Saccharomyces cerevisiae S288C: one gene and its partners. The gene in region 1 interacts genetically with each later gene. Each region holds a gene or a part of one and is shown in the gene's direction. Other genes may lie near its edges.

Region 1 (10,187 bases):
CAACTGGTTAAAGAACATAATAGCGTTACTCACATATCATTCAATCCTCAACATCCTCATGATTTTGCAGTAACTTCCTCAACCAGAGTTCAAATATTTTCTTCAAGAACTAGGCAAGTGATCAAGACCTTTTCAAGATTTAAAGATGTTGTCTATTCTGCATCCTTTAGGAGTGATGGTAAATTGCTTTGTGCCGGTGATGCTACCGGTTTAGTGTCTGTATACGACAGTTATAATCCCAGGACTATCCTTTTATCTATAAACGCTTCCACACATCCCACACATGTTACGAAATTCCATACGCAAGATAACAAAATTCTGGCTACGGCGAGTGACGATAGAGTGACAAGACTTTGGGATATATCCAACGCATATGAGCCACAATTAGAGCTCACCGGAGCTACTGACTATGTTCGTACCTTATCATTTATCCCAGCAGCCCCACATTTGGTTGCAACAGGCTCATACGACGGTTTGATCAGATTATATGACACAAGATCTAGCGGATCCACGCCAATTTATTCTCTGAATCATGACCAACCTGTTGAAAATGTTATTGCAGTATCTCCAACCCAAATTGTTTCTTGCGGTGGCAATAATTTCAAAGTGTGGGACTTGACCAGTAACAAGAAATTATACGAACGTGGCAATTTCAATAAGGCTGTGACATGCTTGGACTATGTTGAAAATTTTGATTCTCCAATGCAATCGGCGTTGATCGCTTCTTCCTTAGATGGTCATGTCAAAGTCTTTGATCCTTTAGACAATTTCCAAGTCAAATTTGGCTGGAAATTTTCGGGTCCCGTACTAAGTTGTGCTGTCTCCCCTAGTACCGCACAAGGGAATAGGCATTTAGTAGCAGGTTTATCATCAGGACTACTAGCCATTAGAACTAAAAAGAAAGAGAAACGTTCTTCCGATAAAGAAAACGCACCCGCCAGTTTTAATAAGAATGCGAAAAGTAATAACTTCCAGAGAATGATGCGAGGCTCGGAATACCAAGGTGATCAAGAGCATATAATCCACAATGATAAGGTAAGATCTCAACGTCGTATGCGTGCATTCGAAAGGAACATAAATCAGTTTAAATGGAGCGAAGCACTCGACAATGCCTTTGTACCAGGTATGGCCAAAGAGTTGACACTTACTGTTCTTCAAGAACTACGCAAACGTGGCAAAGTTCGTGTAGCGCTATATGGTAGAGATGAATCTACATTAGAGCCGCTACTGAATTGGTGCTTAAAAGGTATTGAAGATGTGAGATCAGCATCTATTGTAGCGGATTGGGTCGCCGTGGTTTTAGAATTATATGGGAATACGTTAGAAAGCTCTCCAGTTCTTCAAGAATTGATGATAGATTTGAAAACTAAAGTTAGACATGAAATTCATAAGTCTAAAGAAGCTCAAAGAATTGAAGGTATGCTTCAACTTTTAACGAGTTAAGGAAATATTAGCATATAGATTTTAATTTGTATCTATTTTATAGATATTCAGGCATACATATATATCTCTTTCTCATTGTAATCGAAAAAAATAATATCTTCTCTTTTTATTGAAAAAAGGAACCTGTATAAATTTCATTTTAGAGTGCTTTGCATTTTGATACGTTTTCGCGTTTAACTACCTTCGAGGGCTTGAAAACAAAACATTGTGAGATGAGATGCTATCAACAGAAAGCTGACTGTGAGTCCCCAGAAGTCCATGTCGCTTGATGCCTTCTTTCAATCCTGTTAGATTCTTAGAGTTACCAATTGACATTAGAAAAGAAGTTTACTTCCATTTAGATGGTAATTTTTGCGGAGCACATCCCTACCCAATAGATATATTATACAAATCTAATGATGTGGAGCTTCCAGGAAAACCAAGTTATAAAAGGTCTAAGAGATCTAAGAAATTATTGAGATACATGTATCCTGTTTTTGCCACGTATTTGAACATTTTCGAATACTCTCCGCAACTCATTGAAAAATGGCTTGAGTATGCATTTTGGTTGCGCTATGATTGCCTGGTTTTGGACTGTTTCAAAGTAAACCATCTTTATGACGGAACGCTTATAGATGCATTAGAATGGACGTACCTTGATAATGAACTTCGACTGGCCTACTTCAATAAGGCCAGTATGTTAGAAGTTTGGTATACTTTTAAAGAGTACAAGAAGTGGGTGATAGACAGTGTTGCTTTTGACGAGCTTGACTTACTTAATGTAAGTAATATTCAATTCAACATTGATAATCTAACTCCACAACTAGTAGACAAATGCTTATCAATTTTAGAACAGAAAGATTTATTCGCAACAATCGGGGAGGTACAATTTGGACAAGATGAAGAAGTAGGAGAAGAGAAAGATGTTGATGTTAGTGGAGCTAATTCTGACGAAAACTCCTCACCTAGCTCCACAATTAAAAACAAGAAAAGGTCAGCATCCAAAAGATCACATTCAGATAATGGCAATGTGGGAGCAACGCACAACCAACTAACAAGTATTTCTGTTATAAGAACAATAAGAAGTATGGAATCCATGAAGAGCCTGCGGAAGATCACTGTGAGAGGAGAGAAATTATATGAGTTGCTAATAAATTTTCATGGGTTCAGAGACAATCCTGGTAAAACGATTAGTTACATAGTGAAACGTAGGATAAATGAAATACGCCTATCACGCATGAATCAAATTTCCAGAACCGGACTAGCTGACTTTACAAGATGGGACAACTTGCAAAAGCTTGTATTAAGTAGAGTAGCTTACATCGACCTGAATAGCATTGTCTTTCCCAAAAATTTTAAATCTCTGACAATGAAACGTGTAAGTAAAATCAAGTGGTGGAACATCGAGGAAAATATACTAAAGGAACTAAAAGTCGATAAGAGAACTTTTAAATCGTTGTACATAAAGGAAGATGATAGTAAATTCACAAAATTTTTTAATTTACGACACACAAGAATAAAAGAGCTTGACAAAAGTGAAATTAATCAAATAACATACCTTCGATGTCAAGCAATAGTTTGGCTATCTTTTCGGACTTTGAACCATATCAAGCTACAAAATGTATCTGAAGTTTTTAACAATATCATCGTACCTAGAGCATTGTTCGATAGTAAACGAGTAGAGATTTATCGATGTGAAAAAATCTCTCAGGTTTTGGTAATATAAAAATGTGGAAAACCGGCGGTATTTTAATTAGAAACAAACTGTCTGATAAACCAATCATGAAATCTTGTATCACTGTCAGCAAGCTCTGGATGAAAAGAAGTCACAAGGATATTATGATTTTGCGTTGCAGCTACAACCACATCCTTTCCATTCACTGGCAATTCATATAAACTTTTAACCGCGATAGGATCAAGAATTCTCTCGATCACGGGTGCGCGAATAAATGTAGCAGGAAAATTATCACAGCCAGGTATGAAATTGGAAAAATCACACTTTTGTGTAAAAGATTGAGCTTGTCTTCCAAATGCGTTTCTTCTCACGTCGACCTTCAACACACCTAAAGTCTTTACTAGGGCACTTTCGTTTTCTAATTGCGCGCTTAAAAAGATGAGACCAGCACAAGTACCCCAAACTACCTTTTCCGGATTATGAACAAATTCGTATAAACAAGGATATAAGCCTGTTCTTTGAGCGATGAGGGACATCGACGTAGATTCTCCTCCGGGAATAATTAAGGCGTCGCACTGGGCTAGATCCTCAGGAGTTTTTACAGTTTTGATTTCTATCTTTATTCCGTAGTCGTTTTCAGCCAAACACCTTTTTAAATGGTTGGTATGCTCCAAAAAGGCACCTTGCAACGCCAAAACCCCAATTACTTTCATCGACTTTCCGGACATTGTACTGTGGGTTTTGTGCATACTTTAAGATATGGTTTTTCTTTCTATTTAACGAAATGAAATAATAAGAAAAAAAAACCTGGTGGCATCAACGTGATTTTTGGAAGAAAGAATAAAACATTCAAAGAGTTCGTGACCAGTTATTGCTGATAAATGCCGTTTACTGACTCAGTTGGAATTTATGGCACTAGTTGGAATAGCTCATCATGACATAATGACTCAGCCGACAAGGGTAAGGGTTGAAAGCCGGGCTTTTTCACTACTTTTCAGGTAGCGCCGCCATTTCTTCATGACTCTGACACACTCTGCCGCACCGTTAGTTACGTCTGTAATTCTGGCTGCGAAGTACCATTTTCGATATAAATAGGAGGACGCTGAGAGCTATGGACGAAGTCTATGGTATTGTTGGAGAAACCTTTAGGAACGACTAGCAAATATACACAGTACTAATATTCAGTTAATTATCACGATGACTGGAGAAGACTTTAAGATCAAGAGTGGTCTCGCCCAAATGTTAAAAGGTGGCGTTATTATGGATGTTGTTACTCCAGAGCAGGCAAAAATAGCTGAAAAATCTGGTGCATGTGCGGTAATGGCATTAGAATCCATCCCAGCAGATATGCGTAAGTCAGGAAAGGTTTGCCGCATGTCAGATCCGAAGATGATTAAGGACATCATGAACTCCGTTTCCATTCCCGTCATGGCTAAGGTAAGGATTGGCCATTTTGTTGAAGCTCAAATTATTGAGGCATTGGAAGTTGACTATATTGACGAAAGTGAAGTCTTGACTCCTGCTGATTGGACTCACCACATTGAAAAGGACAAATTCAAAGTTCCATTTGTTTGTGGCGCTAAAGACTTAGGTGAAGCTTTGAGAAGAATTAATGAAGGCGCCGCTATGATTCGTACCAAGGGTGAAGCTGGAACGGGCGATGTCTCTGAAGCCGTCAAGCATATAAGGAGAATTACAGAGGAGATAAAGGCGTGCCAACAATTGAAGAGCGAAGATGACATTGCAAAAGTTGCTGAGGAAATGAGGGTACCAGTTTCTTTGCTGAAAGATGTTTTAGAAAAAGGTAAGTTGCCAGTAGTAAATTTTGCTGCAGGTGGTGTAGCAACGCCAGCCGATGCCGCATTGTTAATGCAGTTGGGTTGTGATGGTGTGTTTGTTGGCTCAGGAATTTTTAAATCATCTAATCCTGTAAGGTTGGCCACTGCAGTAGTAGAGGCTACCACTCACTTTGACAATCCCAGCAAATTGTTGGAAGTATCTAGTGACTTAGGAGAGTTAATGGGTGGTGTATCAATCGAATCTATTAGTCATGCTTCCAATGGAGTAAGACTTTCCGAAATTGGGTGGTGATTTCTTTGAACAGGTATTTTGAGCATTATAACACTTTTTCCCCCCTCAACTTTGTATTACTCGGTACACATTGTAAAATGATCTAATTATTAGATAAGCTTATGTATGCTGGATATTATTTACTAGAATACTTGATTGGGGTTCCCTTTTAGTTTGTTAGACAATCCCTCATACGAAAGATCTCCTAACTTTTCCAATTGATCATTTACATAGTTTTTATAAGAAAACTCGTCATTATTCAACAGTACCTCAGGGTCAAATATGATACCCTTTCCATGCAACCTCCATTTGTTAGTCCACTCGATAGCCGTTGATTTTTCATTTTGGCTTTTATTCACTTGAAGCCTTCTTAAAACATCATATATATCATTTGTGGGAGAATTGGTGCTTCCAGGGTAAAGCTCTGTTCTTCCATCGTTCAAATTTTGCAAGTTCATTAGGTATAAAAGGTAATCCGCTTGAAATATTGGATCTACAAGGTTATTTTTAACACTACCACACAACGCCAGTCCTAGCATTCTATTATGATCTGAAACGCGACCGGGAACACCGATTCCTGGAGTATCTATCAAGTATATTTCATTTCTTGATTCCGTATTCCGTGAAGTTACTCTAATAACCTCGCTTGTGGCTCTAGTAACACCAGCTTCTGCACCAGTTTTGGCTACTTTCTTAAATTTTCTTCCCATATTCACTTGATTGTGAAAAATTGTCCTCAAGCTATTTATTAAAGTAGATTTTCCAACATTTGGCATGCCAGTAATCAATGCTCGGTATCCCATAGGTAGATATCCGCCATTTGTTTCTAGTTCGTAATTTTGCCATTCTAGTATTTTTAGTAGATTCCTGACGTCAGTTTTGTTTCGGCAATCCAGTAAAATAAACTTTTCTCCCAGCTCTTCATGCCAATTCTTTAACTTTCCTATATATGGCTTATTGCCGGGCATAAGATCCTTTCTAGTGTATACCACTAATTTCATCACATCGTGTTCCTTTCTTGCTATTCGATCGAAAACCACATTCCTTGTAGATAACGGGGCACGTATATCACGTAGTTCTATTATCATATTCATTTGAGGAAGCAACTTTTCAAATGTTTTAAGAGCTTTGACTTGGTGTCCCTTGAAATCAGTGAGAGGCATACTGTACTTTGGAAATTCATATCTTGGTGTGAAGGATGAAACGTTGGAAATTATTTTCCTAGTTCCTCTCACATTTATGTGCATTTCTGTATTTGATTTGGCTTTTTTGCATTCAGGTCTGAGTAATGAGCATTATCATTCGTTCTTTCTTCTCCTAATAACTAAACCAAATTGTTTCGAAAAGACAAAAATTGTGTACTTTTGACATGATGGTCCGTGTTCTTTGATCTGCGGCAAAATGAACCTACCATGTGGCAGAATTAAATATTTGATTCAAATATAAATAAGGCGAACGACGAGAGATTAAGATATTATATACAGGTAATACTATTGATTGTTTGTTCCACGGACTAGGAATTCTTCCAATGTGGAATTCTCCATTCCAGCGGTTTTTAATAACGCTTTAATGGAGTTGCATAACTCCGGAGTTACGTTAACATTTAAACGTCTGATCCATAGCAAATGACCATTATTTACGATTTTCGATATAACGTGACTATCACCGCTTTGATTGATAACATTTATAAATTCATTCCAGGGCCTTTTGTCCTGACCTTCCCCTTCCGTTGGTGTGATAGCTTCCCAGACTTGAAGTAGCTTATTCCAGTCTTTGATTTTGGCCAAGTTTTGCAATATTGAGACAATCATGCCTGAAGTCAACTTATCTCCAAATGTTTGGAAAATGTGGTCTATTGTCTCGTAGAGTGATCTCAATTTTACCCGTTCATCCGCGACCATGGAATTTAAAAGAAGGGATATTACCACTTCATCGTAAACAACTGAGCCATCGTCCTCTGTTTGTAGACCTTTAAATAGGTTCAAAGCTCTGATAATCACCCTATTTTGCTTTACTAGGTTAAAGTATGAATGACTAGAATGCTGCGTTTTCAAAACCATTTCTAAAAGAGCGATTAGATCTTCCCTTATTAACTCTTGCCCCAACGATTTTTTTAAAAGTAGATAATCCTTGAGGAAAACACGATCTGAATAAAATTGTGGGTCTGCTTTGTTTAGAAGTATCGCATATTCTAGTCGTAGTGGCCAATATGCAGCCGATTGATTTATGGTTAAAAAAGTTGAATGTTCGTCAAATAAGGACTTCCATTGAACAACATCTACTTTCCTCTCTTGTCCTACCAAATCCTTTAAAGTATTTTTAACATGCTCCAAAGTACGTATATTGTGAGTTTCAGTACCACTACTACTCTGAATTATCTTATTGGCTCCTTTGAAGTCTTCCTTTTGTAGAAAGTATCTTAAATTACTTAGCCCGTTTGGGTTGATAGTTGAATACCTTCTCCTTTGCTGGGCCAGTCTTCTTAGGCCTAAAAGAATATTATTGTTGCTTGAAATTTCATTTACCCCTGAAATAGTAGGGACATTACCTGAATCTATATTTTGGAACTTAGATTTCTCATTTTCAGGTGCATACAGCTCTTCTAAATTCAATTCATTACGCCTTCTCTGTGTCAAAATATTTACAAAAATACCATCGACACGACAATCAATCATATACCAAGCCTCACTATTTAAGTCTTTTGCAGAGCATTCAGAGCTTCTACCTAATAGTTTACTAAGGTTGGATTTTCTTGCTAATCTTCTTTTTCTTCTACTTTCTTGTCGCTCATTAAAGTTTCCTTCAACGTATGCACTACTACAGAATTCGTGCTTCAAAAACTTGTTCAACTCTAAGAAACTTTTATGACAATGTTTGGTAGATCTTGCTGTACATATGACCATGAAGTCACCCAACTTATTAACGGCTGAAACAGAGTTTGGGCTTTTCTTCCGTAAATCGAAAACCAGGAAGTCATCCAGACCAAGTTTACCAGTTAGGAGGTCTGCTATTTTTCTTAATGAGTTTGGAGAGGTTTTAGGTATCTCCAATTCTTTGTTCATCGTGTGGTGGTTATTTTTCTTACCTTCCATTAGTTCCTTTTCATTGTCAACAATCCTGAGGTACCAAGGTGTTTCCAGAGGGGTAAAAGTAGACTTTTTGGATACACGACTTTGTTCATGACTGTCATTTTTGCCCTTTGTCGAGTAATAAACTGCTGTGATGTGACTATGAAGAAAATAAGGGCCCTTTTTGAATAATATGGTAAAAGGAATATTGGCCACGCCTATCCTCTTGCCATGGAAAGGTAGTAGACAGAATTTATTCATGTCAACAAACCTCAATTTTTGAATAAGCAGGCTATTACACTTAATCTTCACTTGGTGTCGATCTTTCTTAGTAGCTTAACTTGCTTTTTTTTTTTTTGGCTGAATGGTCCTCATTGTTTCTCTTTATCGGGATGAAAAGCATAATTATCAGAAGATTGCAAGTATATTAGAAGAGAGGTTAGAAAAAGATGTCAAGAAATACTAGTAAAAACAAATACCATTACTGTGTACTAGAGTACTATTTAAGAAAGACGGATTATTTCTAAAGTTACGATAGTTCGGATGATTGTGACCCCATTTCTAATAAAACCAATATTATCAGGTATATAGAAATGCTGCAGGATCTTTTCAAGCATATATGATACCACCAAAAAAGTGTAAAATCCCATATAATATAACGTTCTTCTATTTGTTTCGTACAGTTCGCTGATTGGTATTATTACATCAGGAATATTGTATGTTCGCTTCGTTAAAGTTTGATCGCTGTTTCCTATATGCGGCGTCTAATATATAGATGATGAGAATTTGACAAATAATGAGAATTGTTAGGATCCAATTATACTTAACAGCTATAATAATAGTACACAAAATATACTAAAAGTTCTCCTCGAGGATATAGGAACCCTCAAATGGAATCCATATTTCTACATAATAGTATTACGATTATTCTTCACTCTGTTTTACATGTTTCATTATCCTATTACATTATCAATCCTTGCATTTCAGCATCCTCTAACTTCGATGACAGCTTCTCATACCTTATGCCATCATCTAACACCGTATATCATAATATACTGGTAGTGTGACTACTAGTTGATAGACGATAGTTGATTTTTGATTTTTATTCCAACAGTCCTGATGATAAGTTACTGTCAAAGACATAATTATTATCAAAATATATGGTATTAGATGGACTGGTAAAAGTACAAAACTTCAGAAATTTGTCCGTGATAGTTTAATGGTCAGAATGGGCGCTTGTCGCGTGCCAGATCGGGGTTCAATTCCCCGTCGCGGAGATTTTTTTATCAGACCAGGTGGGTGTTGTTTGATCATCACAAAGTAGAATTCAGTGTCATTTTTAAAAACGTTACTTAATTTTACGATAATATGCTGCCAGAACAAGTTTAACAATACGCTTTTGGCAATTTGTTCTTGCTGCACTTGGAATTAAATAAGAGTCTTAGTAAACAGAATGTTGCTTTAGTTGTTCGTCAACAAAAACAAAGATAAAGGATGGAGGTAATCAAATAGCCCACATTAAGAAAAGTATACAACTGGGAATTTACTTTATAAAAATTACCGTTGCTACATTTTTTTATATTATTTATTGAATAGCTTGATATTTCAATTCTTCTTTGCAAAGTAATTGATAAGCATTCCATTTTTTACCAGGAGCCAAGGAAATAAAATCATGAACATGACCAGGTTCAATACATATCATTTGTTGGTAACCAGTTTTTGGTTCGAAATCGGCCATCCCTTGAGACTTCTCAATCCATGGATTCCAAACAACAGTGTCGGGCAAGTTGTATCTTTTTAGAGTGTGAATTTGAACGCCCTTGTCAACTATTTGAATGGCCCGTTCGGCGCTGACATTCTGATAAATTACATCGGTTTCTTGATTGAAGGTAACGACTGGGTGCTTGTCGACGTAGGATTCCTTCAACAGTTGGTCATAAAGTTTCATGCCA
Region 2 (10,774 bases), on another chromosome or scaffold:
TTAGCCATGCCTTTTAATGTTGTTGATAATGGAACAATTTGAGAAAATTTCACTTCTGCATAAGAGTAAACAACAAATGCCTTTGCGGCCAGAGATTCCAAAATACTAACGATATTAGTATTATCTAATTTCAGTGTCTCTGGATGCTGTAGGTGATCTATTCTTAATATTATATTCTCAGTAAGTTCATGAAAAAGTTGGGAATTCAACAAAGTTTGACTGTACGGTGGGGAAGATGTGATTTGTTGCTGTTGCTGCTGTTGATTTGCACCACCAAACAATCTCGTTGATGCAATACCGAGGGCTCTTGATAATGCATTAGATGGATTCAGCGAGGATATAGACAAGCGTCTATCCACCAAAGATGGTCGCCTAGACCCATCACTACCTCCACTGGAAGATGATGTGGCCCTCAGTAACCTCGGATTTTCTCCTTGATTTTGAAAATACTGTTGATTGTTTGGAGAGAATTGCTCATTCAATAAGACGTTCTGATTTTGAGTTGAAGTTGGGTGCTTAATAGGATTTGGATTGAATCCTGCTTGAGCAACCTCGTCTGCCAATGAATTAACTTCAACCGATTTCTTCTCTACCACCACATATTCTCTTTCAAAGCTTCTATCTGAAACTAGGCTATTATGGTATTTATTATTTGAAGCCTTTTTATCTACGGCTTGTGTATGGTCTGTTTTAACGGCTGGGGCAGTTAATATATTGCTGTTCTTGAGGGCATCACTGAGCTCCGCGGGATTATCTGCCATTGATTGATGACCTGCAAGATTACTGTTCGGACTCTTTGGCTGTTTAGATAAATACTCAGAAACGAACATATTACTTTCTACAATACCTTTTGATTTGGATTCTAACTCAGGTAAATCATCTTCCAATTCATAAGAAGACAAGTCTTCGTTGACTACCTTGTTAGCAAAAAACTCCTCAAATCCTATTCTTTGGGCTGGATCAAATGTCAATAAACTACATATCAACTCTTTTAACTCTGGTTCAATATTGCAATATGAAGGAAACGTTATGACATCGTTTGCTCTTTTAATTTTCTTGAATAACTCCAAATGATTGGAAGCTCTAAACGGTGGGGTGCCACAGCACATTTCGAATACCACTGTACCGACAGACCACAGATCTGCTTTAGCGTTATATTTTTGATAATTCAAAATTTCTGGTGCCATATATAATGGTGAGCCACAAAGAGTTTCTGCTAATGACGTGTTTGGCAAAAATCTTGCAAACCCGAAATCTGCTATCTTTAAAATGGGTAAGTTGTAGATCCCAACAAATCCAAGTTCATGGAAGCTTTTTGAATCATGATATCCAATTAGGGGTGTAGATAATAGTAAGTTTTGAGGCTTGATGTCTCTATGAACCAAGTTTTTAGACCTCAAAAATTTCAAAGCGGACGCTAACTGCTGTAAATAACTCAAGACAAACGCTCTATGCAGGCCGTTATGGTTCTCACTCGGTGGAGGGTATTTTTCAAATACGGTCCTTAGTAGAGGATGATTCTCCATCAATTCTTTACGCCTTTTCAACAGAAATGTTAGGTCCCCAAGAGCACAGTACTCCATGATCAAATAAAAATCTGTTGATGTTCGTTCACAGTCAATAAGTCCGACGATATGAGGATGCTTGATTTTCTTCAAGATAGCGATTTCTATTTCCAAATTCTCTAGTAATTTCTTATTTTTTAATTTCGCCCTTGATACTTCCTTTATGGCTACATGCTGAGATTTGTCGGATGTCAGATGCCCTCTATATACAGTGGCAAACGAACCCTTTCCGATTTCTTTCTCAGCGGTGTAATTTCCTGCACTTGCCATTAGATTATGGTTCACAGAGGTTGTGTGATCTTTATTTTTAATGTCTCCCATTTTCTTAATTTCTCGTCTGGTGTTGTAAAAGAGATTTGAAAATATGGGGTAGCTTCAAATTCGTTTTGTGGAGATATCAATGATTATTCTCCTATCTCCTTTGCCTTATGTTTTTATTATATTATATGTTATTTTATTATGGGTACTATTACTACGATTGTATTATATCTTTTTATCTTCTATAGTACTGTTCTCTGTTTCCCCAGAAACTAAAAAGGGTAAAAGATGGCCTTGGTACTTAACTTAAAGGTGATGAAATGTGGCGTTCTAGAATTAACCTCGGCCTAAAAAATAAAAAGCTAAAAAAAAATAGTACGATCAGGAAGATATTAATAATATAAGCTCCTTTATGAGATGCTCGATTCCTTTTGTTGCCAACTAAATGACGCTTAGAATTCCATCGATTCCACGATCGATATAGTTACAAATCACAAACTGATGCTGATGGGGGAAATGGTTTAAGAAATCAGAGCCGAGCGGTTAAAAAGAAAAACAGATGCTTGAATACGAATGATATGCTTGCTTCTTTAACGGTATGGCTTTCCAGTAATAGTTACTCCGATAAGATTCATTACAGATACACGAAACGAACAAGGAAAAGATGATTAACGGGAAAAAAAGAGAGTTCCTTATCTCATTGATTTTAACTAGTGGGTTTTCCTTACATTACCGCCCAATCCCTTTTTTTTTTCTCGCTCTCACCGGCGGAGCGCGAGCGGAAAACGCCACCCAGGTGACTTTTGCGCTAAGTGTGGATCAAATACAGTGGTATTAGTCATTGATGTGCAGCGTAAAACGTCCGGAGCAGCTGTGTAATGCGGCTGTGTAGGGTGAATACAATAGAGAATATGACTAATTCTGGTATATAGTCGTTGTTTACAGATATCTTTCGTTACTTAGTGTCATTTAATTACTTAGTGTCACTCTATATGATATGTAATGCGGAGCAGCGGCAATGTATCTTATTTTTATTGTGTGTAGAAATAACCTTGTGGCAGGTTTCCTCCTTGCGACATTTGCTGAAAAGATAATGGCGCCTGTTGCTGTTGCTGCATCTGAAGCTGTTGCATCTGGATCTGCTGTGCTTGAGCCTGAGCCTGGGCCTGAGCCTGAGCCTGAGCCTGAACTTGAGCCTGTGCCTGTGCCTGTGCCTGAGCCTGAGCCTGTGCGACAGCAAGCTGTTGCTGTTGCTGTTGCTGCTGTTGCATAGCCATGGCGTATTGCTGCTGATCTACATATATCATTCCGGTAGCAGGATCGTAATACTGTTGAAGGGTACCATCGAAAACTGCTGGCTTTGCTTGTACAAAAGATGCTGAATTTGAAGTAAAATCTGGCGTGATTACATTTGTACCATCAAAAATAGCTGGCTGTGGGCCACTTGTTGTCGCACGTCTCCTGGGCAGGGGCGGAGTTGATGTTGTCGCTGCTGCCGATACACTATTTCTTGAACTTGAACTTTTTTCTAGATAATCGATTGCTCTATTGATATTTCCGTGAGCGGACGATAATGCATCTAAATTTTTGTTTGTATCACCGAAACCCATGTCCTTGAGTTCTGCCAGTTGCCTAGAATATCTGCTTCCACTGCTTTGGAATGAGTCCCTGGAACCGCCGTAGTCAGACCTATTATGGCCCCCTTTATAGAAAGAATGAGATCTGCTCCTGCTCCTACTTCTATTTCTTTCATCAAACCTGTCCGATTCCCCATCAAAATCATCCATTCTGGATCCAAAGTCTTCAGGCTTTATTTCATCATACCTGAATTTACCCAAAATATACTTGTCTCTAATGTAATGCTCCACGATGGCTTTGTCATCATCTCCATCAAAAGGAAAAGGGACATTTTTAGGATTCCAGAACCGAGCATTCCCCTTATTGCCTCCAAGACTCACTAATTCATCGATATCCTCTCTTGTCCATCTATCCATTGATAGTGATTTAACGTTAGAAAAGGCATCGTCGTCTCTGCTACCGAAAACTTTTCTATGAACAGAGGCACACCTACCACAAAGGAAAACCCCCAAATTAACTGAGCACCAAGTTGGGTAGAAATTACCACATTCACCGCATTTATTGGCATTCTCGGACGAATTAATCAACTCCTTTAATTCTCTGTCAACATGTTTTAAGCTATGGGAAGAACTCCTAAACCTCATTTTTGACTAAGTATAAATAAACTATAATCTGTGATTGACAGAACGCTGCCTCCATCTATATTAATGATTGATCAAGAGAAAATGTTCTTCTTCCACCCTTTTGTGAAGCATTTAGAGATCAACACTAACTTTCTTCAACTTACAATAATTTCCGGGTGCCCCCATTTATCGATTACCCGGATCCGCTTTGCATCATAGTGTGTCGTTGTCGAAACAAAAGCGCCGTATTATTTGGTCAACGTTTAATAAAGTAAAAGCAGCATTTGAGATGCTCTATACAACCTTCTTAATTGCAACCGACATAAAGGTATGTTTTTCTCTTCTTATTATGACAAGGGAAACTTGAAGAAGAATTCGTGTCTTGCCATAATTTCAGCATCATCGTCTCAACCTAAGCCTCTTCTCACGAAGGCACGCTCAAATATCTTTCTGGCTCTAAAAATCTTGAATAACGAACCGAATTTACCATCTTTCCTGCTTTTTTATGCGTCGAAAAAAAGTAAAATAACCGCCCAGATCACGAAATTGCATATAAAAGGCGATCTCCCGTCCCACCGTTATTCTTTGCGATATAGACTAAACGGCGGAAACTTTATGTGTAGTATCATAAACATTCAACAATGGTATGTCTAATAAAACCATCATGGTACACAGGACTGAACACTAACTTATAGACGGGTGCGTGCTACCCTCTTCTTATTATTAGGGGCCAAAGAGACAGACAGTATCACTCCAAGAGAAAAAGAACCGGATTCTGAACTTTTTTCAAGAGACGTACACATTCTACAACATCAAGGAATTAGAGAAAAGCATACCTAAAAAATGCGGAATCTCACCCATGATCGTTAAAGATTTAGTGCAACAAATGATTGATGAAGACGGCGTCATTTCGGTGGAAAAATGTGGTAATATTAACATCTACTGGTGCTTTAAAAATCAGACACTGCAAAAATTGTATGATTCAAGCGAGTTGATAAAAAAAAAGATACAGGAAGTAAAGTGTGATATTGCCACTTATAAACAAGAACTAGACAAAACGCTAGCAACTGGAAGGCGTAAAAAATTTACGGTAGGCCAAAAATCATACAATAGGGAGGCTCTACTGGAAAAGAGAAAAAAAATTCAGGATGAAATTAAGAAAAAGAGTAATAGTCTCCAAAAAATAGAAAGCATTAGATGGGATGCAGCAAAAATACAAGAGAATAAACAACAGATCCGCCTAAAAAAAGTGCATCTGGAGAAAACTACTGATAACATTGAGATTCTCATTGATTATTTATACAAGAAATTCTTTTTGAAGCCAGAACAGATAAGAAAAGAATTTGGAATTCCAGAAGAGTTCAAGGAATTTACGGAGGTTTAACCTTCATGCACTATACACGAAAGAACAAAAGTGTCTTGATTATTACATCTACATTTCCAGGCATAGAGCTTGCAGATTAGCCGCCCATAAATTTGCCACACTGTTTTCCGTGGCGCCACAGTCCGCGTTTGGTTATCCGGCTGACTCATTCTGACTCTTTTTTGGAAAGTGTGGCATGTGCTTCACACAATATAATTCCCGTGAGCACAGCATGCTTCGGGCCGAAGTCTGTTGGAGGCATATGCTCCTACCTTGGAAGACTCATCGCATCTCAAAAGTGTGTAAAGGGGCCTTCTGGCCATATATCCTCTGAGACCTGGTTGAAATGTGGCCAGAAGCAAAGCTGATAAAAACAACTGGCGCATACGTAGCTATATTTTAAATAAATAAATAAATAAATATATATATATATATATATATATATATACATATATATACAGTCATTGCCACACATCCCATAGCTCTGTGTGCTTACAGTTCATTAAAAACAAAAAATATCAAGCAAACAACAAAAGCATAGAAGCAAAAAGATGCCGATCAAGAGATTAGATACAGTTGTGGTAAATACCGGCTCTCAAAATGACCAACATTCAGCCTCCGTGCCACCGGTGTATTTGTCGACTACCTTCAAAGTGGACTTGAATAATGAAGATGCACAGAACTACGATTATTCCAGATCGGGAAACCCGACCAGAAGTGTCCTTCAACACCAGATTGGTAAGCTTTATCGTGTCCCACAGGAAAACGTATTAGCTGTGAGCAGTGGTATGACGGCGCTAGACGTCATCCTGCGTGGGCTCGTCTTACTTAACGGCACTGACAACCATACGCCAACAATAATAGCCGGCGATGATCTTTATGGAGGCACCCAAAGGCTGCTGAATTTTTTCAAGCAACAGAGTCATGCAGTCTCTGTTCATGTGGACACTTCCGATTTTGAAAAGTTCAAAACCGTTTTCCAGTCTTTAGATAAAGTTGATTGTGTTCTTCTAGAGTCTCCGACCAATCCGCTTTGCAAGGTTGTAGATATCCCTAGAATATTACGTTTTGTGAAATGCATATCTCCCGACACTACAGTTGTCGTTGATAATACTATGATGAGTGGACTCAATTGTAATCCTCTTCAACTGAATCCAGGCTGCGATGTCGTATACGAATCTGCTACCAAGTACTTGAATGGTCATCACGATTTGATGGGGGGTGTTATTATCAGCAAAACACCAGAAATAGCCTCGAAGCTTTACTTTGTCATTAATTCTACAGGAGCTGGATTATCCCCAATGGATTCTTGGCTACTTGTGAGGGGCCTAAAAACTCTAGGAGTTAGATTATATCAACAGCAGAGAAATGCTATGATATTGGCTCATTGGCTAGAAAATTCATGCGGATTCAAACCTACCAGAACAAACAAGGCTACGAAAACTAGATTTGTTGGATTACGCTCCAACCCGGATTTCAAGCTGCATAAATCGTTCAATAATGGCCCAGGTGCCGTGTTATCCTTCGAAACGGGGTCCTTCGAACATTCAAAGAGACTGGTCAGTTCCAAAAAACTGAGTATATGGGCTGTGACGGTATCTTTCGGGTGTGTAAATTCGCTTCTATCTATGCCTTGCAAAATGTCCCATGCTTCCATTGATCCCGAATTAAGGAAAGAGAGAGATTTTCCTGAAGATTTGGTTCGTCTTTGCTGCGGTATCGAAAATATAGTAGATTTGAAGAAAGATTTATTAGCGGCGATGGTTGACGCTGATATTATAGAAGTAAGAGAAAATGGCAAATATCTTTTCAACAAATTGAATAAGAACCTAGCTGTGAACACTACCATCGATGACCTGCATAAGCCTTTAAGTATTTACGAAGAATTTTACAATCAAGATCTCATCAGAAAGGACTCAGAATTGAATATTAAGAGTTCGAAATTGTAAGGGAAAATATGCATGTACCTTTTTTTTTTTTTTTTATAAGGTTCAAATCCAAAGATAGTAACTTTAAATAGTCAAGTATATAGACAGAATTTCAAGAACAGTAAGTATATTAAACTTTTACAGCCTTTCGGGCTGTTCCGTAAGCTCTTACTACTACCCTTGGGAAACGCACGCGCGAAGGAGGAAAGTTTGCCTCAATGAACGTGTGTAATGGCGGTCGTAAAAGGAATATAGAAATAGCTGTGCTTTTATAACTTCACTCGACAATGGGTTGACAGCAGATTTAGAAGGAAAAGAGCATACAAAAAATGTGCGATTCTCCTGCAACGACTGGAAAGCCTACTATTCTTTTCATCGCAGATCCGTGCGAAACATCAGCCACACTTAATTCCAAGGCATTCAAAGAGAAGTTCAGGATCTTGCGCTATCAGCTGGACACCAAAGAAGCATTTCTTAACTTTTTAGAAAGGCATGAACAAGACAAAATATGTGCCATTTATGCTGGGTTTCCGGCATTCAAAAAAATCGGTGGGATGACTCGAAGTATCATCGAACACAAGTCATTTCCAAGGAAAAATTTAAAATGTATCGTGCTTTGCTCAAGAGGTTACGACGGATGGGATCTGGATACATTACGCAAGCATGAAATTCGATTATACAACTACCAAGACGATGAAAATGAAAAATTGATAGACGATTTAAAGCTTCATCAAGTCGGTAATGATGTGGCAGATTGTGCCTTGTGGCACATTCTGGAGGGCTTTAGAAAGTTCTCCTATTACCAAAAACTTAGTAGAGAAACTGGAAATACATTAACTGCAAGGGCGAAAGCTGCAGAAAAGAGCGGATTTGCTTTTGGCCATGAACTGGGGAATATGTTTGCTGAATCACCAAGAGGAAAGAAATGCTTAATTCTTGGTTTAGGAAGTATTGGAAAGCAAGTAGCCTACAAGTTGCAATACGGGCTAGGAATGGAAATACATTATTGCAAAAGAAGCGAAGATTGCACAATGAGTCAAAACGAAAGCTGGAAATTTCATTTGCTAGATGAAACAATATATGCAAAACTATACCAGTTTCATGCAATCGTGGTCACATTGCCGGGAACTCCACAAACAGAACATTTAATCAACAGGAAATTTTTGGAACACTGCAATCCAGGCCTAATTTTAGTCAACTTGGGAAGAGGTAAAATTTTGGACTTGCGGGCTGTTTCTGACGCCTTGGTAACGGGACGAATCAACCATCTCGGTTTAGACGTCTTTAATAAAGAACCAGAAATAGATGAAAAAATCAGATCTTCTGATAGACTTACTTCAATTACTCCGCATTTGGGTAGTGCGACAAAGGATGTTTTTGAGCAAAGTTGTGAACTGGCATTGACAAGAATCTTACGGGTAGTGTCTGGGGAAGCCGCAAGCGATGAGCATTTCTCCCGTGTAGTTTGATAGTAAGAGACGTAAGAACCTTATGTTAACATACCTATATATACATATACGTCAACACACCAAGAAAAAAGAGCAGTGCGAGTTTTCGTATGCATTTGACTTCAAAAAGAAGTCAACATTAAGTGCCGTTTTTGTTTCGACAATGGATTGTAGTACAGTGCCCCGTAGGTGTATGACTCGTACTTGCGTGTAAGTAAATTTCGGATTTGTTCGCCGCACCTTATCTCACCTGAAATTTTCTGCGTCAGGCTGCTTTGATGGTGTCTAAGAGAAGGCCATTAAAAAAGAGAACAGATGTTGAGGTTCTCAGTATAAAAATATTACTGTTGAATATTATTAGCTTTATAGAGTATTTATCAAAGAACAGGACTTGAAAAACTTCGATCATAGATGAATAGGGACAACATGGACACAACAAAGCGCAAAGAAGATCATACAAAGCATACTACTGATGTAATAGAATTTTACGAAGAAGGAACCGCAGCTTCTTCTTTAAACATAGCCACAGAAAAGGCCAACTCAAGTCCGTCCATTTTGAGAAGAATTATCAACAGGGCGGCATGGCTTTCTAAGAAAGTGGACGCAATGGGAGTAGAGTCTACCGGTATTCAGAGGATATCTCCCTATGAACGAGGAACATCAAAGAAACAATTTTTGCATGTCGCGGGGCTATGGTTGAGTGCCACAGGTGGTTTGTCTTCCATGTCGTCGTTTTTATTAGGCCCTCTGCTTTTCGGTTTAAGCTTTAGAGAATCCGTAGCCTCCAGTTTAATATCGGTAACAATTGGTTGCTTAATTGCTGCCTATTGCTCGATCATGGGACCGCAGTCCGGTTGCAGACAGATGGTAACAGCTAGATACCTGTTCGGATGGTGGTTTGTTAAATTAGTTGCATTAGCTTCCATTATCGGTGTCATGGGTTGGTCTGTGGTTAATTCCGTGGTTGGGGGTGAAATGTTAGCTGCTATTTCTAATGATAAAGTACCCCTATGGGTAGGGATTGTCATAGTGACCGTATGCTCCTTTTTAGTTGCCATTTTCGGTATCAAACAAGTCATTAAAGTGGAAACTTACTTATCCGTACCCGTCCTGACAGCATTTTTACTACTGTACATTTCATCAAGTGATAAATACAGCTTCGTCAATGCATACGTTTCAAAGGGAAATTTGGACTCTTCCACCCGAAAGGGCAACTGGATGAGTTTTTTTTCATTATGCTATAGTATTACGGCTACTTGGGGGTCTATTACAGCAGACTATTATATATTGTTCCCAGAAGATACACCATATATTCAAATTTTTTGCCTAACGTTTTTTGGAACATTTTTGCCTACCTGTTTCGTCGGAATCTTAGGTCTCTTACTAGCTTCTGTTGCCATGTCGTATAAGCCTTGGTCAGTCGAGTACGATTCCCATGGAATGGGTGGTCTACTTTGGGCAGGTTTTCAGCGTTGGAACGGCTTCGGAAAGTTCTGCGTGGTAGTACTGGTATTCAGTTTGGTATCCAACAACATCATCAATACGTATTCGGCAGCATTCTCCATCCAACTTTCTAGTGTGTTTTGTGCAAAAATCCCTCGCTGGTTCTGGTCTATTGTTTGTACTATAATTTGTTTGGTATGCGCATTAATAGGTCGTAATCATTTTAGTACTATTTTGGGAAATTTCCTACCAATGATAGGCTACTGGATTAGCATGTACTTTATCTTATTATTCGAAGAGAATTTAGTATTCAGAAGGTTTTTCTTACATTTGTACACCAAAGAGTTTCCTACAGTTACAGGAGAAATAAATGGACCGGAACTTGTTGGATCTTCAAAAGAAGTGGAGAAAGATGCAGTTACTAATATCCATTTGTTAAAAAGAAAACATAAGGTGACTAAACATCGTTACAATTGGGACAAATGGGAAGATTATGAGGTTTTAACGCACGGTTATGCAGCAACATTTGCGTTTATTGTAGGAGTTGCTGGTGTGGTAGTTGGTATGG
Region 3 (10,774 bases), on another chromosome or scaffold:
CAGGACATTTTGAACCTTTTTTTCTCTTCAGACGCTTTACAGCGGAAAAGGAAAAAAAAAAAATTGGAAGTTCTTTCAGTAAAGTGAGATATATTCAGCAAACGAACATAACGTCAGGATTAATCGGAACGGTAATTTCTAGCATCCACTCAATTTCGTGATTAGCTTTTGGCGCATAACTGATTTTTTGCTTTAGCACATCACAGCTAGAATAAACTTCCAAAAATCACCCGCTTGCAATGCTGTCCATTTTAAGAAATTCGGTGAGACTAAATTCAAGGGCTCTTAGGGTTGTGCCATCTGCCGCCAACACCTTAACATCGGTTCAAGCATCCAGAAGACTTTTAACAAGTTATTCAAGTTTTTTACAAAAAGAAACAAAAGACGACAAGCCTAAATCCATTCTTACAGATGATATGCTGTTCAAGGCCGGTGTTGACGTCGATGAGAAGGGCCAAGGCAAAAACGAGGAAACATCAGGAGAAGGAGGAGAGGACAAGAATGAACCTTCTTCCAAAAGTGAAAAATCTAGAAGAAAAAGACAAACTTCTACAGATATTAAAAGAGAAAAGTATGCTAACTGGTTTTACATTTTTTCGTTGTCTGCGTTGACAGGTACTGCAATCTACATGGCAAGGGATTGGGAGCCTCAAGAGTCTGAAGAATTGAAGAAAGACATCGATAATGGCTACACTTTATCACTTATGTATAAAAGATTCAAGGCCAGGTTCAACTCAATGTTCACCTACTTCCAAGAGCCACCTTTCCCTGATTTACTACCTCCACCACCACCACCACCGTACCAAAGGCCATTAACTCTTGTTATCACATTGGAAGATTTTTTGGTTCATTCTGAGTGGTCTCAAAAGCATGGTTGGAGAACGGCCAAAAGACCTGGTGCTGACTACTTCTTGGGTTACCTATCGCAGTATTACGAAATTGTTTTGTTTTCATCCAACTATATGATGTACTCTGACAAAATCGCTGAAAAATTAGATCCAATCCATGCATTCGTATCTTATAATTTGTTCAAGGAACACTGTGTTTACAAAGACGGTGTGCACATTAAGGATCTGTCAAAATTGAATAGAGATTTGAGTAAAGTAATCATTATTGACACTGACCCTAACAGTTACAAATTGCAACCTGAAAATGCTATTCCAATGGAGCCATGGAATGGTGAAGCTGATGACAAATTAGTAAGATTGATTCCATTTTTGGAGTACCTTGCCACTCAACAAACCAAGGATGTTAGACCAATCTTGAACAGCTTTGAAGACAAGAAGAACCTAGCAGAAGAATTTGATCATCGTGTGAAAAAATTGAAGGATAAATTTTACGGAGATCATAAATCTGGTGGCAACTGGGCAATGACGGCACTAGGTCTCGGAAATTCCCTGGGCGGCAGCACCAAGTTCCCGCTCGATTTGATTCATGAAGAAGGACAAAAGAACTATTTAATGTTCATGAAGATGATTGAGGAAGAAAAGGAAAAAATTAGAATACAGCAGGAGCAAATGGGCGGGCAAACATTTACGCTGAAAGACTATGTTGAAGGTAACTTGCCTTCGCCAGAAGAACAAATGAAAATACAATTGGAGAAGCAGAAGGAGGTAGACGCCTTATTTGAAGAGGAAAAGAAAAAGAAGAAGATTGCTGAATCCAAATAATTTTCATGTAAACCCTCTTCTCATGTATCTACGTATCTATGTGTGTATGTAAATGTACCTGTACACTCCCCACACCCTCATTTTGTTACTGTCATGTGAATAAAACTTATGTATATTGCTAACTTACTACCACTGCACCTCCTAACATCACCATACTACGTACAAACACGCCTATTTATTTTTTCTATGTTAAATTTTAACGATGTAGACACACCTAATGATCTGATGCGCTTTGCATATCTCATATTCCTTCACTAGCATAAAAATCCAAAAAAAAAGAATATTTAGGCCGAATGGAATTATTCGTAACGTCATACGAAAAAAGTTTCAATTCGTACAATGCCTGGCATGTTCATTCGAATATAAGGCCGCCGCCTTCCAGTCAGGGTAGCCAAAAGTATAATCCCGGGTGGAAACTAAACTAAAAACCGTACTCACAACTTTCCGCGGACGCTAACAGACAAATAGACACACTATCAGGTCAGGAACTGCCGTCACATACGACACTGCCCCTCACGTAAGGGCATGATAGAATTGGATTATGTAAAAGGTGAAGATACCATTGTAGAAGCAACCAGCACGTCGCCGTGGCTGATGAGGTCTCCTCTTGCCCGGGCCGCAGAAAAGAGGGGCAGTGGCCTGTTTTTCGACATAAATGAGGGGCATGGCCAGCACCGAGACGTCATTGTTGCATATGGCGTATCCAAGCCGAAACGGCGCTCGCCTCATCCCCACGGGAATAAGGCAGCCGACAAAAGAAAAACGACCGAAAAGGAACCAGAAAGAAAAAAGAGGGTGGGCGCGCCGCGGACGTGTAAAAAGATATGCATCCAGCTTCTATATCGCTTTAACTTTACCGTTTTGGGCATCGGGAACGTATGTAACATTGATCTCCTCTTGGGAACGGTGAGTGCAACGAATGCGATATAGCACCGACCATGTGGGCAAATTCGTAATAAATTCGGGGTGAGGGGGATTCAAGACAAGCAACCTTGTTAGTCAGCTCAAACAGCGATTTAACGGTTGAGTAACACATCAAAACACCGTTCGAGGTCAAGCCTGGCGTGTTTAACAAGTTCTTGATATCATATATAAATGTAATAAGAAGTTTGGTAATATTCAATTCGAAGTGTTCAGTCTTTTACTTCTCTTGTTTTATAGAAGAAAAAACATCAAGAAACATCTTTAACATACACAAACACATACTATCAGAATACAATGACTAAGCTACACTTTGACACTGCTGAACCAGTCAAGATCACACTTCCAAATGGTTTGACATACGAGCAACCAACCGGTCTATTCATTAACAACAAGTTTATGAAAGCTCAAGACGGTAAGACCTATCCCGTCGAAGATCCTTCCACTGAAAACACCGTTTGTGAGGTCTCTTCTGCCACCACTGAAGATGTTGAATATGCTATCGAATGTGCCGACCGTGCTTTCCACGACACTGAATGGGCTACCCAAGACCCAAGAGAAAGAGGCCGTCTACTAAGTAAGTTGGCTGACGAATTGGAAAGCCAAATTGACTTGGTTTCTTCCATTGAAGCTTTGGACAATGGTAAAACTTTGGCCTTAGCCCGTGGGGATGTTACCATTGCAATCAACTGTCTAAGAGATGCTGCTGCCTATGCCGACAAAGTCAACGGTAGAACAATCAACACCGGTGACGGCTACATGAACTTCACCACCTTAGAGCCAATCGGTGTCTGTGGTCAAATTATTCCATGGAACTTTCCAATAATGATGTTGGCTTGGAAGATCGCCCCAGCATTGGCCATGGGTAACGTCTGTATCTTGAAACCCGCTGCTGTCACACCTTTAAATGCCCTATACTTTGCTTCTTTATGTAAGAAGGTTGGTATTCCAGCTGGTGTCGTCAACATCGTTCCAGGTCCTGGTAGAACTGTTGGTGCTGCTTTGACCAACGACCCAAGAATCAGAAAGCTGGCTTTTACCGGTTCTACAGAAGTCGGTAAGAGTGTTGCTGTCGACTCTTCTGAATCTAACTTGAAGAAAATCACTTTGGAACTAGGTGGTAAGTCCGCCCATTTGGTCTTTGACGATGCTAACATTAAGAAGACTTTACCAAATCTAGTAAACGGTATTTTCAAGAACGCTGGTCAAATTTGTTCCTCTGGTTCTAGAATTTACGTTCAAGAAGGTATTTACGACGAACTATTGGCTGCTTTCAAGGCTTACTTGGAAACCGAAATCAAAGTTGGTAATCCATTTGACAAGGCTAACTTCCAAGGTGCTATCACTAACCGTCAACAATTCGACACAATTATGAACTACATCGATATCGGTAAGAAAGAAGGCGCCAAGATCTTAACTGGTGGCGAAAAAGTTGGTGACAAGGGTTACTTCATCAGACCAACCGTTTTCTACGATGTTAATGAAGACATGAGAATTGTTAAGGAAGAAATTTTTGGACCAGTTGTCACTGTCGCAAAGTTCAAGACTTTAGAAGAAGGTGTCGAAATGGCTAACAGCTCTGAATTCGGTCTAGGTTCTGGTATCGAAACAGAATCTTTGAGCACAGGTTTGAAGGTGGCCAAGATGTTGAAGGCCGGTACCGTCTGGATCAACACATACAACGATTTTGACTCCAGAGTTCCATTCGGTGGTGTTAAGCAATCTGGTTACGGTAGAGAAATGGGTGAAGAAGTCTACCATGCATACACTGAAGTAAAAGCTGTCAGAATTAAGTTGTAATGTACCAACCTGCATTTCTTTCCGTCATATACACAAAATACTTTCATATAAACTTACTTGGTCTTACGTCATAAATAAATATGTATACATATAAATTAAAAAATTTGGTTTTATATTTTTACAAAAAGAATCGTTTACTTCATTTCTCCCTTTTAAGCGATACAATCCATGAAAAAAGAGAAAAAGAGAGAACAGGCTTGTGCCTTCTTTAAAACATCCCACACAAAATCATATTGAATTGAATTTTACATCTTAAGCTAGTGTACAACAACTGCTATATCCAAAGAAAACTAACGTGGACCGCTTTTAGAGTTGAGAAAAAGGTTTGAAAAAAATAGCAATACAAAGACTTGTTTCATATATAAAATACAGGGAGCACATTGAGCTAATATAACATAAACACTGCGAACCAATTCCAATCAAAAGGTACACATGAGAGCATTCCCCCGAGTACTGCCATTTCGCCATCAGAGATCATATAATAACATCCTTCTTCGAACAGTAAGGCTTTTTGGTTCATCACTTTCTTCTTTTGATTTCTCTAGGCAAATGCCTAAGGTGGACCCTGACAATACCGCTGCAATGCTACTACAGAAAAACTTGATCCAAAGAAACAACATGCTCTATGGGTATGGATCAGGGACAATACGATGTACTTTGCTAGACTCAACTGGACGAGCCAAATCACCATTAGTAGAGATAAAACGTGAGGATCTAGTATCAAAACATGGCTTGTTGCCCAGAGATCTACGTAAAATTGAAAAATCAAGGAAGAATGACTTAGTCCCTAGTTTGCTCGTGCGAGAAAATTCCATACTAATCAGTTTACTTACTGTGAAAGCCCTAATTAAGCCTGATATGGTTATTATCTTCGATTCAGCCGGCAGTGGAATAACTTTAAACTCAGAAGCTCACAAGGATTTTATTAACGATATGAAATTGAGACTAAAAAATCAAGAAACAAGCGAGCTAAATAGCGATCCACTTCCTTATGAATTCAGAGCTTTAGAAACGATCTTCATTTCGGCATTATCTAACCTTACCAGTGAAATGAAGGTGTTGCTAACCATATGCAAGGGGGTGCTTCAAGATCTAGAATTTAGTATAACAAGAGATAAATTAAGGTTCTTACTGGGTCAAAACAAAAAATTGAGCAGCTTCAATAAAAAGGCTGTTCTAGTTAAAGATATGCTGGATGACTTGCTAGAGCAAGACGATATGCTTTGTGATATGTACTTAACCGACAAAAAGGCTGGAAAAATTAGAGTTCAAGATGATCATACTGAAATTGAAATGCTTCTGGAAACATATCATAACTATGTCGATGAAATAGTTCAGAAAAGCGAAAGCGCCATATCTGACGTGAAAACCACAGAAGAAATCATCAATATAATCCTAGATTCTAACAGAAACGAATTAATGCTGTTAGGGATAAGATACGCCATAGGAATGCTTTCGTTGGGAGGCGCTCTATTCCTGGGTTCTATCTATGGTATGAATCTGGAAAGTTTCATAGAAGAAAGTAATTATGCGTATTTAACTGTCACCATTTTGGGGTTAATATCTACTGTTTGGCTCTATGCGAAGGGAATCAGACATTTGCATAAATTACAACGTATGACATTATTGAGTAAAATAAAAACAGATTCCGTTCACGAACTGTTGAAGAAATAGTTATCACGAAGAGTCAATCAATCTTTTTAATACGCATTCAAATGAATAAGAACAACTTTCACTTTTTTAAGTATATAAAAAGCCGTACAGGCGAACGTATATAATTAAAATTCTTTGGAAAAAAAGAAAGCTCGCACTCAGGATCGAACTAAGGACCAACAGATTTGCAATCTGCTGCGCTACCACTGCGCCATACGAGCTTTTGTTGTATAGTTTTAAGGCAATAGAATAATAACACTTATCCACGCAACAGTAATGTGGTTAAATAATAACTTCCTGTCAGGACTTGTGGTTGATTGGTGAAAATCAAATATCATGCTGACTACTAGAAATATTAGCAGTATATTATCATATACGGTGTAAGAAGATGAGATAAGGATTGAGAAACAGTCATCAAGTTTAATGAAAGTGAAATGAAAGGATTGATTATATAATAGGATAATGAATCACAAAGTATAAAAAGAAGGAAGAAAAAATGATATCATTGAGAAATTGATGAATTTTGAGATAATTGTTGAGATTTAATTGTTGATAAAGGCAATAATATTAGGTATATAGAATATACTAGAAGTTCTCCTCGAGGATATAGAAATTTTCAAAGGGGAATCGATTTTTCTACAAATAATATTACTATTATTCCTCCTTCCGTTTTATATGTTTCATTATCCTGCTATATTATCAATCGTTGCATTAATCGTTGAATTTCAACTTACTCGAACTTCGATGACAGTTTCTCATCCCTTATGTTATCTTCTTACACTGTATGTGATAATATACTGGTAGTATGACTACTAGTTGATAGACGATAGTTGAATTTATTCCATAAATTATTTATGTAAAACTGCCGACCCCTTTTGTCGATTTCTATATTCTCGAAGAGAACTTCTAACATTTTCTGTATACCTGATATTATAGTCTTTAACAACAACGGAATCCTCACAGTTATCTACGATTCATCTATTTCTCATCAGTAACAAAGATATTTCAGTAGTTATTTTATATAATTCATGCGTTTCACACATAGAGATGGTTTCTTAAGTTTAGAATGACGTATTTAGCTATAATAAAATGTTTCATTGTGGGATAAAAACTTGTGGGCCATGACATGAGCAAATTTATTATCAATGTTGATAATTAGAGGTAAAAAATTAGTATTAATGAAGAAGTGAGTACTGATCTTCTTATACTAAATAAGAGAGGTATATAAAACACACGCCGATTGGTCATATTAATCATGACCAATATAATAGTGGTTCCGGTAGTTACTATACATTGATGTGACGACTCATATTCCTCATATATGTACCTACCATATCATGTTCAACTAATAGGTCTTTAACACAGCTTCAGTATTGTCTGAGCTTCTCGTTTAACATTCCTTCTGCAATAGGCGCAATCACACTTAAACGTATACGAGTTGTACATTAATATACGATGTAAGCATTAGATTGTTACCATAGCAACTCATGTCACTATTAATTACTCTCGTTCCAACATGCTCCCTTAAAGATATATTATTGTACTTCAACAGATATTCATTGTGTGTTTAGAACTTCATTAATTAATTATCAATAGTCTGTTGAGGCCAAAATATCCTGTGATGTTATTTTATTTTTTAATACTTGTATAAATCTTTTAAAATCAGATGCTGATACTGGTTTTGTTAGTAAATCAGCAATATTACCTTTGCCGGTAATTTTTAACAGTTTTATACTCTTCTCTTTAATTTTTTCTTTTATTATTTCAGTTTTTATCCAAGTGAATTTCTCTTTTGGTTGTTGATAGCTGCGATTTAATCCTTGAATGGCTGGCTTTGAGTCAGTGATCATGACAATGTCATTATTGTCTCCTTCTCCTAGCTCCTTTAATGTTACCTTCAACGTTTCTGAGTCTGCATAGCCTTCATAAATGGCATGAAGCTCTGCTTCTGTTGATGATACACATCTGTTTGTGCTCTTGTTAGAATAAACATTAAAAATATTCATACCGTACCATAATATAACTCCAATCCTTGATTGAGCATCATATTCTGATCCAACTGATGCATCAGTTATAGCAATAACCTTCTTGTCTTTATTACAGTCTCGGTCATAGTGTATTCCAATATCTTTATACCGAACCAAGTACTGGATTATTTTGTAAATCATATAAAAGACTCTTTCATGTGGGTAATTTACTAGTCTAGCCACTTTCTTAACAGCAAAATTAATGTCGTATCTGCATTTGTGTCTGACATAGTTTAGTTCACCTAGTAATTGTTGTAGCTTTAGAACACCTTGTCTAAACTCTTCTTCTGACATTTGCAGTACGTCTTTCTTAGGATCTATTTTATAAGTTGACATATGCGGAATTGAACTTTTTCTAATCTTTTTCAATTCCTCGTTGTATTTTTTATCCATTCTATTTATGAATGATTTTAATGTTAAATCGATAGTACCAAGTCTTTTGTTGTATACTAGATCCATTCCTAATATATCTGTATCGAGTACATCATCTATTAATGTTCCTGTAATTTTCAGTTCAAAATTACTTTTCAATTTGTTTATGAATTCATCCAATCTCTGTTCATTGCTTGCCGCAATTACGCAGTCATCAACATAGACTGCAATCATTAGATTTTTATCCTCGGTTTGGTATAATCCCGGAGTATAAGAGTTATCTTTCAGTCCAATTCCATTCAAGTATTGTCTTAGATGATCATTCCATTCTTTAGGACTCTGTTTTAGACCATATAACGCCTTATTTAGCTTGACTACACATCTCCTATCATGCGGATGTGGGATGTATATTTCTTCTTCCAATTTAGCATATAGGAATGCATGATTGATATCCAGGGTCTTCATAAACATATTTCTGTTGTTTGCAATCATTAAGAATATCTTAATATGATTGTGATTTAAAGATTCTGTAGTTATTACACTGTAAGTGTCTGGTGACTGAGTATCACCTCTGCAGACTATCCTAGCCTTATAAATCCCATTTCTTTTCTTTGTGAATATCGTGTTGGTGGGTACTATTAAATTATCAGGGATTTCTGATCTACTGTACTTCACATCGACATCAAATACCTTCATATCTTTTAAATTCTGTAATTCTTTATGATATGCCTGTTTGTATTCATGTTTTTCTTTGAGGTCAGGATTTTTTGAAATAGCTTCATTATAATATATGGCTCTAATTTTTTGTGCTGAAACTGTTTCCATATTATCTGGAATTAATTTCACTCGATTCCTTTTTGAACGCTTCTTATCTCTTTCTAATTCATAGCTTGTTAGACTATTGTTTTTATCGTGTCTTTTCCGTTTTCTTTTCATGTTCAAAGAACTGAATTCTTTGTTTAAGAAGGCACTTTTATTAACTGTTTGTACTGGTGATCCAGATGCTTCAATATTTTGTTCCAACCTTGGTGACACATTTGTTCCATTGTCAGTTGGTACATTTTTATCGGTGACTTTTAATTCTTTTAAGTTATTACCATCCTGACAGTTTGATTCCATATCAGTTTGATCACTCATATCCACAATGTCCTCAATCGGGGGCGGATGATGATTTTCCTTCTCAAACTTTTCAACTTTGTTTGTGGAATAATCATTACTATGGTGATTGTTAATGCTTTCTAAAGTTTTTATTGGTAAACTCGTATCGCCTGTTTTTAAAGAAATCTCATTGTCTGTATTTCGGAATTTTACATTTTGTTCCAATGCTCCCTTCTTTAGGAAACGAAGTTTCATGATTTGTTTTATTGAACTGCTCCTGAATTAGTTCGGGTTTTGCGTTGTGCATTGACTCATCTTTGTTAGTAATAGATTCATCGGTGATATCTACACATCTACTGAGTCCAGTGTTTAAGATACTCCCAATATTTTTACTACGAATTCTGTCGGAGATTCTGTTTTCGTCATTGATTTTAATAGTATTTTTACTTCCTACCAGTTTCTCTTGTATAATCGATGGAATTCTGTGGACTTTTTCATCATACTTATCTTCATCAATATGACTTGTATTTATTAATCCTTTCTTATCGATTTCACTGATGGATATTTCAGTCGATGCAAGTTCTGAATTAAAATCCTTGTTTGACAAAATTTTGTTTTTATCAGTTGAGATTGAAGTATTTGTCGTTGAAAGTTCAGATTCAACGTCATAATCTCCAGATTCCTCAACATCAGAAAATACGTAATCCAAGTCCCCTTCTAGGTTATTACTAGGAGATGGGTATTTTGCGTTTGAGTCTATTTGAGATAACTCTTCCTCTGTGAACAAATCTTCCAGGCGAGTAATTGGTTTATTATCATCTTCGTAGTTTTCCAAAGCTTCACATAAGTTTGTGACCGTTTCGATTTGATCTTCTTCATTATCATTATGTGAACTGAATTGATGACTCTTGTAAATATTCTGAGTATTTCTTACTCTACCGTCCATCGTATAGTTGGGAATTGTATAATTATCAGATGTGACAATTTTATTTTTGGATGGTATAAAGAATTTGTATCCATAACTATTTGGATCTTTGCATAGAATTATAGAAGGAAGTCCAGATGGTTTCAATTTTTTGTGATTATGATTCCAAATTATTCCTTTTTCGCCAAATGGTAAGAATGACATTAATCTCACTGTAACAGGTTGACGTGAGATTGCCTTCAATGGTAGTTTACCTGTACTTTTGTGTTCCAGGCAATTTCTTATATTGGTAGCAGAAGTTACTGCGT

Evidence for each region.
Region 2: mutations in SNZ1 (region 1) and TPN1 are lethal when combined (synthetic lethality), as found in Saccharomyces cerevisiae (2 studies listed by BioGRID, with this or other methods).
Region 3: mutations in SNZ1 (region 1) and ALD6 together harm fitness more than expected from each alone (negative genetic interaction), as found in Saccharomyces cerevisiae (2 studies listed by BioGRID).

Annotation. Positions count from the first base shown.
Region 1 is NC_001145.3:454,114-464,300, forward strand, and holds SNZ1 (pyridoxine biosynthesis protein SNZ1), read left to right. Parts: upstream 1-4,294; coding exon 4,295-5,188; downstream 5,189-10,187. Other genes in the region: snoRNA-binding rRNA-processing protein UTP15, read left to right, coding at 1-1,443; CTF13 (Ctf13p), read left to right, coding at 1,712-3,148; SNO1 (putative pyridoxal 5'-phosphate synthase), read right to left, coding at 3,172-3,846; putative GTPase MTG1, read right to left, coding at 5,311-6,414; ATP25 (Atp25p), read right to left, coding at 6,658-8,496; YMR099C (glucose-6-phosphate 1-epimerase), read right to left, coding at 9,821-10,187. UniProt on the Saccharomyces cerevisiae protein: Catalyzes the formation of pyridoxal 5'-phosphate from ribose 5-phosphate (RBP), glyceraldehyde 3-phosphate (G3P) and ammonia. The ammonia is provided by a SNO isoform.
Region 2 is NC_001139.9:151,177-161,950, reverse strand, and holds the start of TPN1 (Tpn1p), read left to right. Parts: upstream 1-9,174; coding exon 9,175-10,774. Other genes in the region: serine/threonine protein kinase ATG1, read right to left, coding at 1-1,886; GTS1 (Gts1p), read right to left, coding at 2,855-4,045; MND1 (Mnd1p), read left to right, coding at 4,666-4,668, 4,752-5,408; cystathionine beta-lyase STR3, read left to right, coding at 5,939-7,336; YGL185C (putative hydroxyacid dehydrogenase), read left to right, coding at 7,645-8,784. UniProt on the Saccharomyces cerevisiae protein: Thiamine-regulated, high affinity import carrier of pyridoxine, pyridoxal and pyridoxamine.
Region 3 is NC_001148.4:429,700-440,473, forward strand, and holds ALD6 (aldehyde dehydrogenase (NADP(+)) ALD6), read left to right. Parts: upstream 1-2,888; coding exon 2,889-4,391; downstream 4,392-10,774. Other genes in the region: protein translocase subunit TIM50, read left to right, coding at 240-1,670; YPL062W (uncharacterized protein), read left to right, coding at 2,196-2,600; MFM1 (Mfm1p), read left to right, coding at 4,824-6,065.